Linked DNA regions of Schizosaccharomyces pombe. The gene in region 1 interacts genetically with each later gene. Each region holds a gene or a part of one and is shown in the gene's direction. Other genes may lie near its edges. The genes, in order: SPOM_SPAC212.06C, psy2 and cti6.

The links.
Region 2: mutations in SPOM_SPAC212.06C (region 1) and psy2 together harm fitness more than expected from each alone (negative genetic interaction), as found in Schizosaccharomyces pombe (one large-scale study listed by BioGRID).
Region 3: mutations in SPOM_SPAC212.06C (region 1) and cti6 together harm fitness more than expected from each alone (negative genetic interaction), as found in Schizosaccharomyces pombe (one large-scale study listed by BioGRID).

Annotation. Positions count from the first base shown.
Region 1 is NC_003424.3:16,353-19,584, forward strand, and holds SPOM_SPAC212.06C (DNA helicase-like protein), read left to right. Parts: upstream 1-1,719; coding exon 1,720-1,954; exon of another isoform or gene 1,955-1,996; coding exon 1,997-2,205; 3' UTR 2,206-2,622; downstream 2,623-3,232.
Region 2 is NC_003423.3:893,746-898,987, reverse strand, and holds psy2 (serine/threonine protein phosphatase PP4 regulatory subunit 3 Psy2), read left to right. Parts: upstream 1-1,573; 5' UTR 1,574-1,854; coding exon 1,855-2,566; intron 2,567-2,624; coding exon 2,625-4,423; 3' UTR 4,424-4,616; downstream 4,617-5,242. Other genes in the region: dynein-anchoring factor Num1, read right to left, coding at 1-913; squalene monooxygenase Erg1, read right to left, coding at 4,936-5,242.
Region 3 is NC_003423.3:512,180-516,488, forward strand, and holds cti6 (Rpd3L histone deacetylase complex PHD finger subunit Cti6), read left to right. Parts: upstream 1-1,975; 5' UTR 1,976-2,036; coding exon 2,037-2,374; intron 2,375-2,544; coding exon 2,545-2,748; intron 2,749-2,792; coding exon 2,793-3,525; 3' UTR 3,526-3,774; downstream 3,775-4,309. Other genes in the region: vacuolar amino acid transmembrane transporter Avt5, read right to left, coding at 1-287; rps29 (40S ribosomal protein uS14), read left to right, coding at 4,263-4,309. UniProt on the Schizosaccharomyces pombe protein: Could be a component of the RPD3C(L) histone deacetylase complex (HDAC).

The DNA of each region.
Region 1 (3,232 bases):
ATTATAATAAAACTTATGTAATTAATTATTTTAGCTTTAAAATAAGCAAAAGCTTTGTTTTTGGTAAAATGGCTTTTTTTGGCTGTGTGGTGGATGTATTGCGGAATTTGAAGGTAAAGTAGACAAAATAGAGTTTTTTTAATCACAAACGGAGTCATTTGAACTGCATCAAAATTATCCGCGAAGTGGACTGTCGAGTACTCGTTGTTTCTGAATGAAGTCCAAATGTGGAGTTGGCACATTCAGACTCTATTCAGAGCCCATCTACTATCTATCTATCTATATTGGCATTCCCATATAATGTAATGAGCTGTTACATGTTATTTTTAATATACCGTTGATAAAATGATTTTAGAATAGAAATGAAGAAAGTAAAATTAAATAAGATTGAATTAAGATAAATAAATTATAACAAGAAAAAAAATTAAAAAAAATATAATTCTCATAAATGAATACTAGAATAGCTTTCAAATTATGTTCTAAGTTCAATAAAATGATAATAAGCATAAGTGTGTATAAACTTGATGAACATCAAGTACATCGACTATTTCACTTGTTTAAAATAAAATTTATCATTTTTAAGTCTGTTGTATTTTTTTTCTTCTCTTTATGAAGCAATTTGAGGGACTAGTACATTGTTTAAGTATAACAGCAAAGTAGGAAGGAGGAGACACAAAAATATAGTGTGAAACGTATTCTACTGTGTAGTGCGTTAATAAGAATTATCAACCCTACCCTACACTTTACCCACACATTTGTCGTACACAAAAGTATTCAGGACGGACGGATAATACAACAAAAAAAACTATAGGAGTAATGGAAGAATAGTATGCATGAGTGAAGTCTGATGAACGAGTACTTTTGATGACACTCTAATGACAATGATGTGTTTCTCAAATCACATTGGTCTAAATCTCCTATTAAAAAGTATGAGACAAAGGCATATATCTTCAATGAGTTATTGTTTTTTCTAGTGTACATATATCTGCTGGACAACCAGCCAGAGTGCAAGAGATGGTGTATTGGACTTTGCGGAATGGCAAATTTAAAACTCGCGAATTGTATTTGATGTTTGGAAGACTGATGATTTACAGCAGATACGATAAAACTCGTAATATGAAGTTTGCTGAAAAGCCAATCCCCAGGTTTCTTTCTGAGCTGCTTTCCATTTTAGCACTTCGGTACTATGTTTTGGTTCGACCATTAGAAGCATTGATGAAGTATGTGACAACCGCTGATAGGTCGAAAGTAGCTGCATGCACACTTGGATTTCATGTTTGTGATTGTTGGCGAACGATTGCAAAGAGATTTACCGTATCGAATTTTTTCAAAGGCCATCTACCAATGCATTCAGAAACCGTTGGGATTTCAAAACTACAGACACATTGCTCACTACTTTAAAGAAAAAGAACATCGAGAAAGACATGACGAGAGAATCTTATTTCGATTTACAGGCTGAACATACACGAAACACAGCGCTCTACATCTATGGACGCACTATGGACAACTTGCATTATCTGCCATCGGATTATTTCGTCAACTTTTTTCGTGCAAGCTATAAGTGGCAGGAACTATTGCAGATTCGAGACAACCCGACCCATGGATTGTTGGTAGAAACAAAGCACCCATTCATCAAGCGAGTTGATCAATTGGAGAACGCAAATGGAAAGACACGAATCATGATCGCTTAGCAAGGGATTTGGACTCGGTATCAACTATATGGGAGTGCGTTTAGTAGTACACTATAGATTACCAGCTTCATCTATGGATTATGTACAGGAGACAGGTCGAGCTGGAAGAGATGGCAAGTATGCGATTGCAGCATTGTTTTACGAGAAATATGATTCTACATGGTCGAGCTACGTGGAGGATTCGATGAAAAACTTTCTTAATGATAATACGATGTGTGTTCGATCGTTTCTCGCAAGTGAAATGGATGGCGAATGTGTATGTTGTGCATCGTTTGCTAACTGTGTTTACTGCTCAAGATGCTCAGATTCGTTACTTGGTGAAGAATCAACTGTGTCTACGATGTATGGAGTGAAACCGACATTGCCAGAAACACCGAAACCAGCCATTGCAACACATTCGCGTTATAATGCATCGTTTTCGTCTTCCCCCCCACCACAGCCAGGGAGTAGCAGTGGTATGAGTGCTATGAACACTAACACTACTAGTACTACGCCAGTGTCTGGTAAAACTTAACTACACATTACGCTGAGAGGTAAAATACTCTGACAACATTCGTTCGATTGTATAAAACAAAATCCAGCCGAAACGATTGTTGTCAGTAATCAAGATTACGATCTAAATTGAGTACCAAGACAAAACGAAATGGTTAAAAAGTTAAAGTCGTTTTTGTATGGACACAATTTCTATAAAATAGACATGAGTAAAATCTCGCTATTTGTTTGTTATTGTGGAATAATGAAGAGTCATGGGAGATGAATGTTGTAAACGATGGCATAGAATTGGTAACGAAAAGTGAAATCGTTGGGATCAACTATTTCAGTATTTTGTTTAAAGAAAATGTTGAACTCGACAAGTAATGAGAGGTGGTGCTTTCGTTAAATAATGAGTGGTGGTTACGGTTATACAGGATATGATATGTGTATGGTGAGAATGTGATGTATGTATTTGAGTATAGACAATCAGAAAATCTGTAAATAATCAAGTCGCAAGAAAAAATGAAAATAGATATACAAAGTAAAGAGATGAATGAAATGACAAGGTATCGTAATGAAAATTGAAATTGTTGAAGACGAATAGATGAGTAAATGAGTAAGTGAGTAGAGTAGATGAGTAGATGAGTAGATGAGTAAATAAGTAAATGAGTAAATAAGTAAATAAGTAAATGAGTAAAGAGAGTAATCGTTTGAATAGGACGACGATGCTCACTATTGATGATGGGTTGGTTACAGTTACATGGTTGCATTGGATATGTGTAAGGTGATAATGACGATGATTAATAAGAAATGGAATAAAGTGTCGCTATTGAATGAAAATGAAAATGAAATGAAAATAATGAGTCAGTCATATTACAAGTAAGACGGTAGATAATAAAGAATAGTTATGTAAGTTGGTATTGTGAAAGATGATGATAGAAAATAATAATTGATGAACAGATGAGATAAATAAGATGAAGATTTCGTTTGAATGAAAAGTAACGGTTCTATAACATATGAAATGAGGTGAATGGTAGTAAGATAGATAGAATAGAGTAAGATAGATA
Region 2 (5,242 bases), on another chromosome or scaffold:
ATTGAGATACCGAAGTTTGTACATTGGATTCCAACGACAAAAAAGGATCTATTGGAAAATCGTGTTTCTCTTCTTGCTCCGCATCAAAAGATGAACTATCAAAATACTTATCCGAGGAAGACTCCAAAAATACAGAATCGTCGTTTTCATCCTCAGTTACCAAAGTATTTTTAGAATCTTCACTTTCATCTATAGTTTCGCCTTTTTCGGCATTCAGTTGAAGCTCGTGAAGGCAAATTCTTAAATTTGTTAATTCCAATGTCAGTTTGTTCTTCTCATCGTTAAGTGAAACGGTCAAAGACTCTACTTCTGTCAATTTTTTCATTAATCCTTGTAGTCTTTGTTCAAGCAAATCCCTTTGTCCTTGCACCTTAGTCTTCTCTTTCATAAGTGTTTTCATGTTTGAAGAAAGTAGATCAAGTTGCTTGATTAAATGGGCATTATCCACTGACAACTTTTTATGCAAATCTTCTTTCTCTGACAGTTGCAGCCTTAAATACCGCAACTGTTGCAGAAGGTTTAAGCCAATGTTAGTAGCATATTGTAGATTGGTTTCAGTAACTGAATATTGATCTACTTGAGAAGACTCACTGAAGCAATTTGTGTTCTTCCTTCTTTCAATTGCAATGTCTTGACGTTGAATAGTAAGCATCTCCGTAATTCTCACCTCCTCCTCCGCTAAATTTTTTTCCAAGTCGCGTAATTTATATCGATTATCAAATTTGTTATTAAAATATGTTTTATTTTCCTTTTGAACCACTTGGTCTTTAATTTCTTGTTCGATTTTTCGTGTTTCACAAAGAATGCTTTCCTCTAACGCTTTCGCATAAGCAAGCTTTATTTTTGCACTTTCATTTCTATTTTTTAAATCAATTGAATATAATTCCACCTCGTTATCTTGTTTTTTCTCCATGAAGGATCAGTATATGTTTTGGTAAGCTCAACTCTCTTTGTCTTTTATATATCGATAAACTCGTAAGCATGCATATCGCAACAGTCATCGTCTTGAATACATAATTTTTATTTCTGGAATTATATCAATTCAATTCGTGTTCTCATTTGGCAAATTTCTCGTATTACGCTTTAACAATAAAACTTAGTAAAAGCAAAAAAACTGTATTTATATTGATGCATTTGCTAGAGTACTTGAATATCTAGCGAAGCTTTAGCAGCTTTCAATATATATATCGGTATAAATACCATTAGTTTGTACTTAAAAATTAACTATTACTTTACAAATGTACCCTGAGCCTCATGATTGACTTGCAAAAAATTGATTTGACGAGGCTACACATGTGTTTAGACAATAATTAACTTTATTTATATTCATATTTAGTTTATTTACTATTTCGAAAAGATTTAAATGCTAATTGTAGACAGTATAAAACGTTTAAAACACAACTCGATATAAGGATTGATTACAGCATATACACCGAGCGGTGAAGTACTCATCGTTAAAATGCATAACGTCCGTTAATGATATTGTTGTAAACAGATACCGAATTACAATGAAAAATAGTGACTGAAAGCACCACGATCACGTATATAATAGTTATTTGACTCTATAAAGAACATAATTCTGCCATAACACTTCAAAATTATGCACGTGAAATATACATAGTACACTGCTTAACAAATCTATTTGTTATATTTTAGGCAAACCAAATAATTAAGTAAAGCGGCATTGCCATTTAATGAGAAATACATTTATTAATAATTACAATCTTGGTGCAATCTACGGTATTGCATTCATTCACCACCACGTTTGAATTTCGTCTTCACTTTTGAAAATTTGGTGACGAACGCCAACGTCGTAAATTCGAAGCTGACGTCTACCCTTAATCCGCCGTAGAAATGGATTCTACGAAGGAAGAGGAAGATTTAAATAATAATATTGATGAAATTTCAGATGGAGAAAATGAAGAAGAGGAATTAGACGAAGCAATTGCAGCTGCATTGCAGAAGATCGAAGTGCCATCGATTCCCAGACGTGTAAAAGTGTACGAAATGGAAGATGAAAACTGGGTAGACTGTGGCACCGGTTATTGCGATGGAAAAATAGAGGGACCGTTGGCTTATTTCATTGTGCGTTCAGAAGCTGATAATGAAACCATCCTTTTGAAAACACAATTGATTGCGGAAGATATATACAGCCGTCAAGAAGAAACTCTCATAGTCTGGCAAGAATTGAATGGTACTGATCTTGCTTTAAGCTTTCAAGAATCTAGCGGTTGTATAGACATGTGGATGTTTTTAGCAAATGTTCAAAAGGCAATATCATCGGTAACTAGAAGTTACTCCAACGATGATATATTGACGGATGAGGGGGCGCTTAATGAAAACTACCTAAACACGGTCGATCTTCCAGCCCCAGAGCTTGCTAATTTAAAAGAAATTGAAGAAGCAGTATATGGATATATGCAGTCTATTCAATCAAGAGATAGTTTGGTTCGTTATGTTTCAAATGAAAATTATATTGATAGACTTATTGAACTTTTTCCTCTGTGTGAGGATCTAGAGAATACAGATGACCTTCATCGATTGTGTTCCATAATAAAAAGCTTTGGTATGTTAATCTACTTTATACTTTTTAGATTCGTTAAATCCTTGCTAATCGCTGTCAGTGCAATTGAACGACGCCCCTTTACTCGAATCGTTGTTCTCTAATGATGAAAAGCTAATGTGTGTAGCTGGTATTCTCGAATACGATCCGGAATTCCCCAATATCAAAGCGAACCATCGGGAATATTTAATGGATTCCAAAAAGTTTAAGCAGGTGGTTCCCATTCAGGATCCACGGATTCTTGCAAAAATTCACCAGACATTTAAGCTTCAGTATCTAAGGGATGTTGTCGTTTCAAGGATTGTTGACGAACCCTCCTTTTCGGTGCTAAATTCATTTATCTTCTTTAACCAGGCTGATATTATTCAATACCTTCAAACAAATGAAAAATTTTTACATGAACTGTTTAGCATTTATGTGAATGAAGGCGAGGATGATCAACGCAAGCAAGACGGTATATTCTTTATTCAGCAGGTTTGCAACATCGCTAAAGGGCTACAATTCCAGTCCTGCTCTGCATTATTTGCTACTTTCGTTAAATTTAATCTTCTGAAAGCTTTGGATTATGCAATGTCACATGAGAACAATTCCGTTCGAAATGCTGGTTCCGATATTTTGGTGTCTATTATTGATCATGAACCTGCCATCGTTTGGCAAAAGTTTGATCAAGATCGCAAGGACGCTTCTTCTTCATTGAGCAATGCTCACGTTTCCCAACATTCGTTGCTTTCCAATTTAATTAACATTTTGCATAAAGAATCAAATCCTGGAGTACTTGCTCAAATTTCTGAAGCTTTTAAAATGCTACTAAGTTTACCTGGTAGCTATGCATACAATAATCCTTACAGAAATGCTGATGGAAATGTTCGAAATAAAACCGATAACATTATTGGAATTAATTTTATTGAAAATTTTTATGATAACTCTTTTAATATGCTTGCTGCTCCTTTATTGGAGCTGGAAAATGTATCGAGTTTAGATGTTAAAAAGCTTGATATGTATATGCATTTGTGTGAGCTTTTTTGTTATTTTTTTCGTATACACGATTATTGGTCTCGTCGTTTTGATACATATAAAACCCTTACATCAAAAGTGGCTCTATTACTATACAGCGATAGAAAATATGTTGTTTTGAGCGCCCTTAGATTTATTCGCTCTTGTTTGGCCGCTCGTCAGTCAGAAATGTCCTTGATCATGTTAGAAACTGACACATACGGAAAAGTTCTGGACTTGATGTTAAAGGTCAAAGACCAAACTAATTTAGTCAACTCAGCTGCTTTAGAGTTTTTTGAATTTTTAAGATCCGAGGGATCTGAAGATACACTGGATTATCTCAATAAAAACTATCGACCACAGCTGGAATCTTTAAATAATCTCAGTACTTTTTCTGAGCTTTTAAATATAATAGATGGCTTAAGCTCTGACTCAAGAAGCCCTAAAACTGTTGGGACTCATGAATCAAATAGTTATGAATTTGACGGTGCCTCCAATAATAACCAACGTGTTGGAGACGACGTATCCAAAGATTGGGAAATACAGCAAGATTTTTCTATTGAAAACGATACTGAATTATCAGAAAAAGTTGGACAACGTACTGTTCTTGATTCTATAGCCCCTGCTGAGCTAAATATTGAAGACAGTTGCGAGCAGCCAAAGCAACCTATATTAGAGGATCGTTATTTCCTTGAGTCTGCAGTTTATGATACCTCTGCAGAATCTTCAGGTATTAATGTTTCAAACACCCGTTATTCTAAAAGGAAATCGGATTTCCAAGTTGATGATCAGCAAGCTGATGATGAATCACCAAAAAAGAGACTCTCTATCGATTCAAGTTCTGCCCAGAATGGCTACGCTTCCTAGAAGATGAACATAAAAAGGGAAGCTCCAAAAACTCTAGAAGATTGTAATGCAAGTGAATCATCATATGGACATCGTATTTTTGTTCCCGGGTTTATCATTGTTTTGAAAACTCATCTGTATAATATAAACGATTTGGGTTGTTCATTAAGGGACTTTTAAAATAATAAATACCAATTTTCATGTTACTATCGTGGTCTTGTAGTCTCGGGATAATTGTTTACTTAACGCTGACGAATAATTGTACTTAGTAGGCTTAAAAATTAAAAAAAAGTATTTTATATTAAAACGGCAATTTATAACTCTTGAAAAACAGAGGGATTTATATAATAAACAAAAAGAGTGTGAAGTCATTACAAACTTGAACCCAACTCTATCTAAAACTATTTCTTTAAAAACAACGACGTACCAAACAAGGCAAAAACCAAATAGCTATCAGTGATTGCCAAGACAATCATAATCAACCAATTCATAAATCAAAAATAATTTAATTTTAATGAACTGATTCTGCAAACTTAGGATGACATTTCGCTAAGGATATAAGGGATAATTACTAGCGAAGCTTGTAAGAAAATCAATAAGGATTCGATGATACGGACGGGCATAAGCAAAGCAGGACCAGACAAGACATATTGGTAAATACCATAGAGACAGACGGCATAGAAGTGGCCGATAAGATGAGAAGGGCTATGGTCTAAACCGCCTAATAAACGAATGGGACCTTCAACACAATTACCTCCACGCTTGAAGTAATCGATACAGCCCGATTCAAGAGCCTTCATATAGCGATTTTTAGGGGTAAACAATTTGTACAAAGCAATG
Region 3 (4,309 bases), on another chromosome or scaffold:
GCCAAAGAGGGAAAGGTGTGCTTGGCAACAGCAGCAAATGAAGCCTTTCCCCTCGGGAGTCGTGCGGCGCATTGGGAAACAAAATATAATCCTAAAAAAGAAGCGAATGCACTAAAGACGATGGTCAAACACCCAAACAACAGACCAGTCTTGGTAAACGCATTTGGTAAGGAAAGAATTCCAGCTCCCAAAATAGTATTGGCAAGGTTGATAACCGAAGAAAAGAACCCAGCTTTTCCAATATGGACGTCTGCTGGTCCAGAAGACAAAGGACTATACCCAGACATAAATTAACCCAAACTAGGAATAGAGAAAAAATCTAGGAAGCTATAAAATTGGTGTTTTTAGGAACCAACTTTACGAATTACAATTAAGTACTAAGCGTATGAGTATGCAAACTGATCGATTTTTTGGAAGAATCGTTCAAGAAAGTTATTTTAAAAGAAAATAAGAACTATGCAATATAAAAAAAATGGTTCTAAACAAATAATAGAACGTGGAATAAAAAACGCCTGAGAAATCGTAGAATAGAAATCAGCAGACAAAAAGAGACCAGCTCGATAAATTAAATTGTAGAATCTATTCAGAAGCCCGATAAATAATAGGAAAAATTATAGTACACGATGTATTAAAGCACCTTCCCAGCTGTACGAGTGGAATGCTCGTTCTTGGTTGTTAAAAGAGATGAAATTACGATATACAGATGCGATATCGCTCTACTCTGGTTTGCCAGCAGATATAAAAGCAATGAAATATTATTTCTTTTCTTACTATTACTAAAAAAATTGTTAATATTTATCACTATCATCTCAATTAATGAGTGACATGAGAAATTTATACCAAAATAGATATTTGTGGCACACGAATATTTTACCAACTTGAACACAGTATTAGCAGTAAATTAGAGAATTTTGTAAATTCTGTAGAAATAAAACGAATTTTTCATAGACATATATTTATATCAATAGAGCATTCGAAGTGGTGGAAGAGCATACAATTGATTTTTTCATCGAATAAATTTCAATAAAAAGAGAAAATTTAGAATTATAACAATTTCTCACTGTCAAACGTTGATCACAAGGATATAAATAGTTTTTTATTTTATTTCATAAGTATCTAGTCAGTTGAATATAGTATCGAAGAAAAATACAATCAAATTTCATTGTTTTGTTCATGAATTCCCGGTGAACCGAGTAGCAGTTGCTTTTCTGACATTGCGAGGAAAAAGCCTTTTTTAAAATGTAAGATGTTTTTTAGTTTCAAAATATGCACATACGCCATTCTAAAGATTGCAGGAACATCGTAAAATGCGAATACATGGAGATAATACCAAATATCATGTCGATATTACAAAACCTCTTTTAATTTATAAAAGCAGCAGCACCTTACAGAAATGATTTCACAACCTTCATAATACAGCTTATAATAATATGCATTCCCAAATCAAGTCAATTCTCATTTCAATAATAATTAGTACAGAGAGATAGCATAAAAAGTGGGTCAAACAAACCATACGTTTAATTATATGAAGTTTGAGATGAACATATAAGTTTCTTAATCTAATTCAACAGTGCTAAAGCTTTAGGAGACTTAAATAACCATTCCCAGACAAACCAGGTTCTCCGATGGTCAAGGGCAAATCAACGGGCAAAATGGGCCTATAAAAAAATGAAAGGTGTTAAACTGTTTATGTTTACAAAGATAATTGGGTTTTTATCAATTTTTTTTAATTAACTATCATTTCAATGCATTGGCAGTCTCCCTCTGGGCTTGAATCCTAGAATCCAACGTTTTTGCCATTCAACTATTTAACTATTACCAAAGTGCCATTACGACTTTGACCAAAAACATTCAATCACTAAATGAATATAAAAAAACAAATTTCCCATACATTAATTACTTAAAGCGTGAAGTTTCAGCAATTCGCGATATATTTCATTGATGTTGTAGTTGGTAAATGTATTACCTATCTTCCAATCCTTCACCATTCCCCAAGCGCACAGCACAATTTTTTAATAAAACGATTATTATACATTATGCCGAGTAATTCAACTCCCGCTAATGAAGAAAAAGAGGAAGAGTCTGAAAAAATTCAGAAATCTCCCGTAGACACACCCCACACGCCTAATGGCTCAGTTTCCGATAATGAAGAGAATGAAACATCGAGTACTGGAGAAGTAACCCGCTGTGTTTGTGGAATTGTCGAATCCGACGATGAAGCTAGTGACGGGGGGCTGTATATTCAGTGCGATCAATGCTCAGTTTGGCAACATGGGAACTGTGTGGGATTTGCTGATGAATCAGAAGTTCCCGAGGTATATTATTGCGAAATATGCCATCCAGAATTCCATAAAGTATATCAAAGGGGCAGAGGGTAAGTGTTGATAACAGATGAGCTTAAGGATTTAAAATGGATTTACCACTGAATACCTAATGCTTTAAACTAATTGCAGTGGTTTCCAAATATCTCCATTTTATTCTTTTTTCTCTTCTAGCAATTAAAAAAATTGGGTTTTTCAACTATTGTTACTAACTTCGCCGCAGGGCTAAACAATCAAAGTATCTTGGAAATGGAAAACCTATAGAAGCCAGTCAAACAGAAGAATCTTCATCTACTCCCCCATCTCCGGCAACCAAAAAGTCGTCTAAGCAACGTCTTACTATGAATTCCAGAGACGCCGCTCTTGATTATGAAGAGTATCTTGCAATTGCTAAGGAAAAGTCACTAATACCGAGGAGATCTAGAGGGTATGGTCATTGATATTCATAGATGATATACTAACTGTTTTTAGGCGAACTTCATCGAAGTCTCTTTCTCCACCAGCTCCCCAAGATGAATCGCAAGGAACCGAAATAAATTTAAAACAAAAAATTGAAGAAGAGAATGATGAAATTTTAGAAGATAGTAAGGAGTCGAAGGACGAAAACGAAGAGAATAAAGAAACCTCTACTACTAATGTCGCTGAAACGGATGCCCCTGAAGAAGAAACTGTAGATACGGTTGAGGAGATTGCTGATGAAGAAAAGCACTCAGTAAAAGAGGAGTCTGGAGAAGCATCCCCTCAAAGCTCACAACAATCTACCATTACTTCTATTTCGACCACTACTCGGTCAACGCGAAAAGCTAAACGTGAAGCAGCGGCAGAAGACAAAGCGGATCTTCCAGCAGCTGTCGCACCGAAGCCTTCAAAAACAAGAAAGGTGGGAGGAAGAAGAGGAAAATCTAGTTCGAACGATAATCACCGAATTCCTCAATTACATCCGGATGGAACGTTCGTAGAGACCATAACCAAGCCTAAGGGATTGCACTCAAGAATCACTATGACTGAGATGCGGCGAAGAGTTGCCTCTATGCTAGAGTATATTGGACATATTCAAGTTGAAATGGCAGCTCAGTCTGCTGGTAATCAATCATCCACAAAGTCATCGAAAGAAGGCCCAGAAGAAGAGAAGGAAACTCTTAGGATGGTAGACAATCTCACCAGGGATTTATTGCATTGGGAACAACGATTCAGTCGAACTTGATGATGCTGTGTACTGTGTGAATTTACATCAGTAATATTAAAAAAAAGAAGCAAAGGAAGAAAAAAGGAGAAAGATGTGTTCAATTGAACATGTCAACATACATATATTTTTACTTTTTTATGATCTAATGGTTTCCTTTGTTGATTTATGATAGATATTTTGATAAAGATTTAGAGTTCCTTTGATGAGAGGGATATAATTTTTGTTTGGTTAATTGAAGAAATATAATTTATTATTATTTACAGGTTAAACTTTTGTATATTTTTTGAAATGAGCTATGTTTTTCGAGTACACCGATTTCCAAGTGAATGAGTAAAAACGTTCAAAAGTACTCACTAATTTAATAAATACAAGAGGTTTTGAAACTAAAAAAAAAAAAAAAAATCAAACGTAGAAAACACCACAATAACTACTTTCTGAAGGAAAATCCATCTTTCATTAAGTGCCTATTAAACCAGCTACAATATAATGTTATATAAGGCTTGGTACTGGAGAGGAAAAAAATAAATCCTGATTATTCCATCAATTGAACAAATATTTTAACTAAGTGTCTAATGAAAACAATTTCTACTTAAAAAATAGTACTATACATACTTTATTTACATTGTTGAGCACAATGTCAAATAACGAAATGCATTGTATTTCTCTATATTAGCCCTACCCTATGCCTAGAAGAGCAGTCACGACTTTCGTCTAGTAGAAGAAACGCTTGAAACAATCTCTACCTTCACACCAAAATGGCCCACGAAAACGTTTGGTTCTCTCACCCTCGCAAGTACGGAAA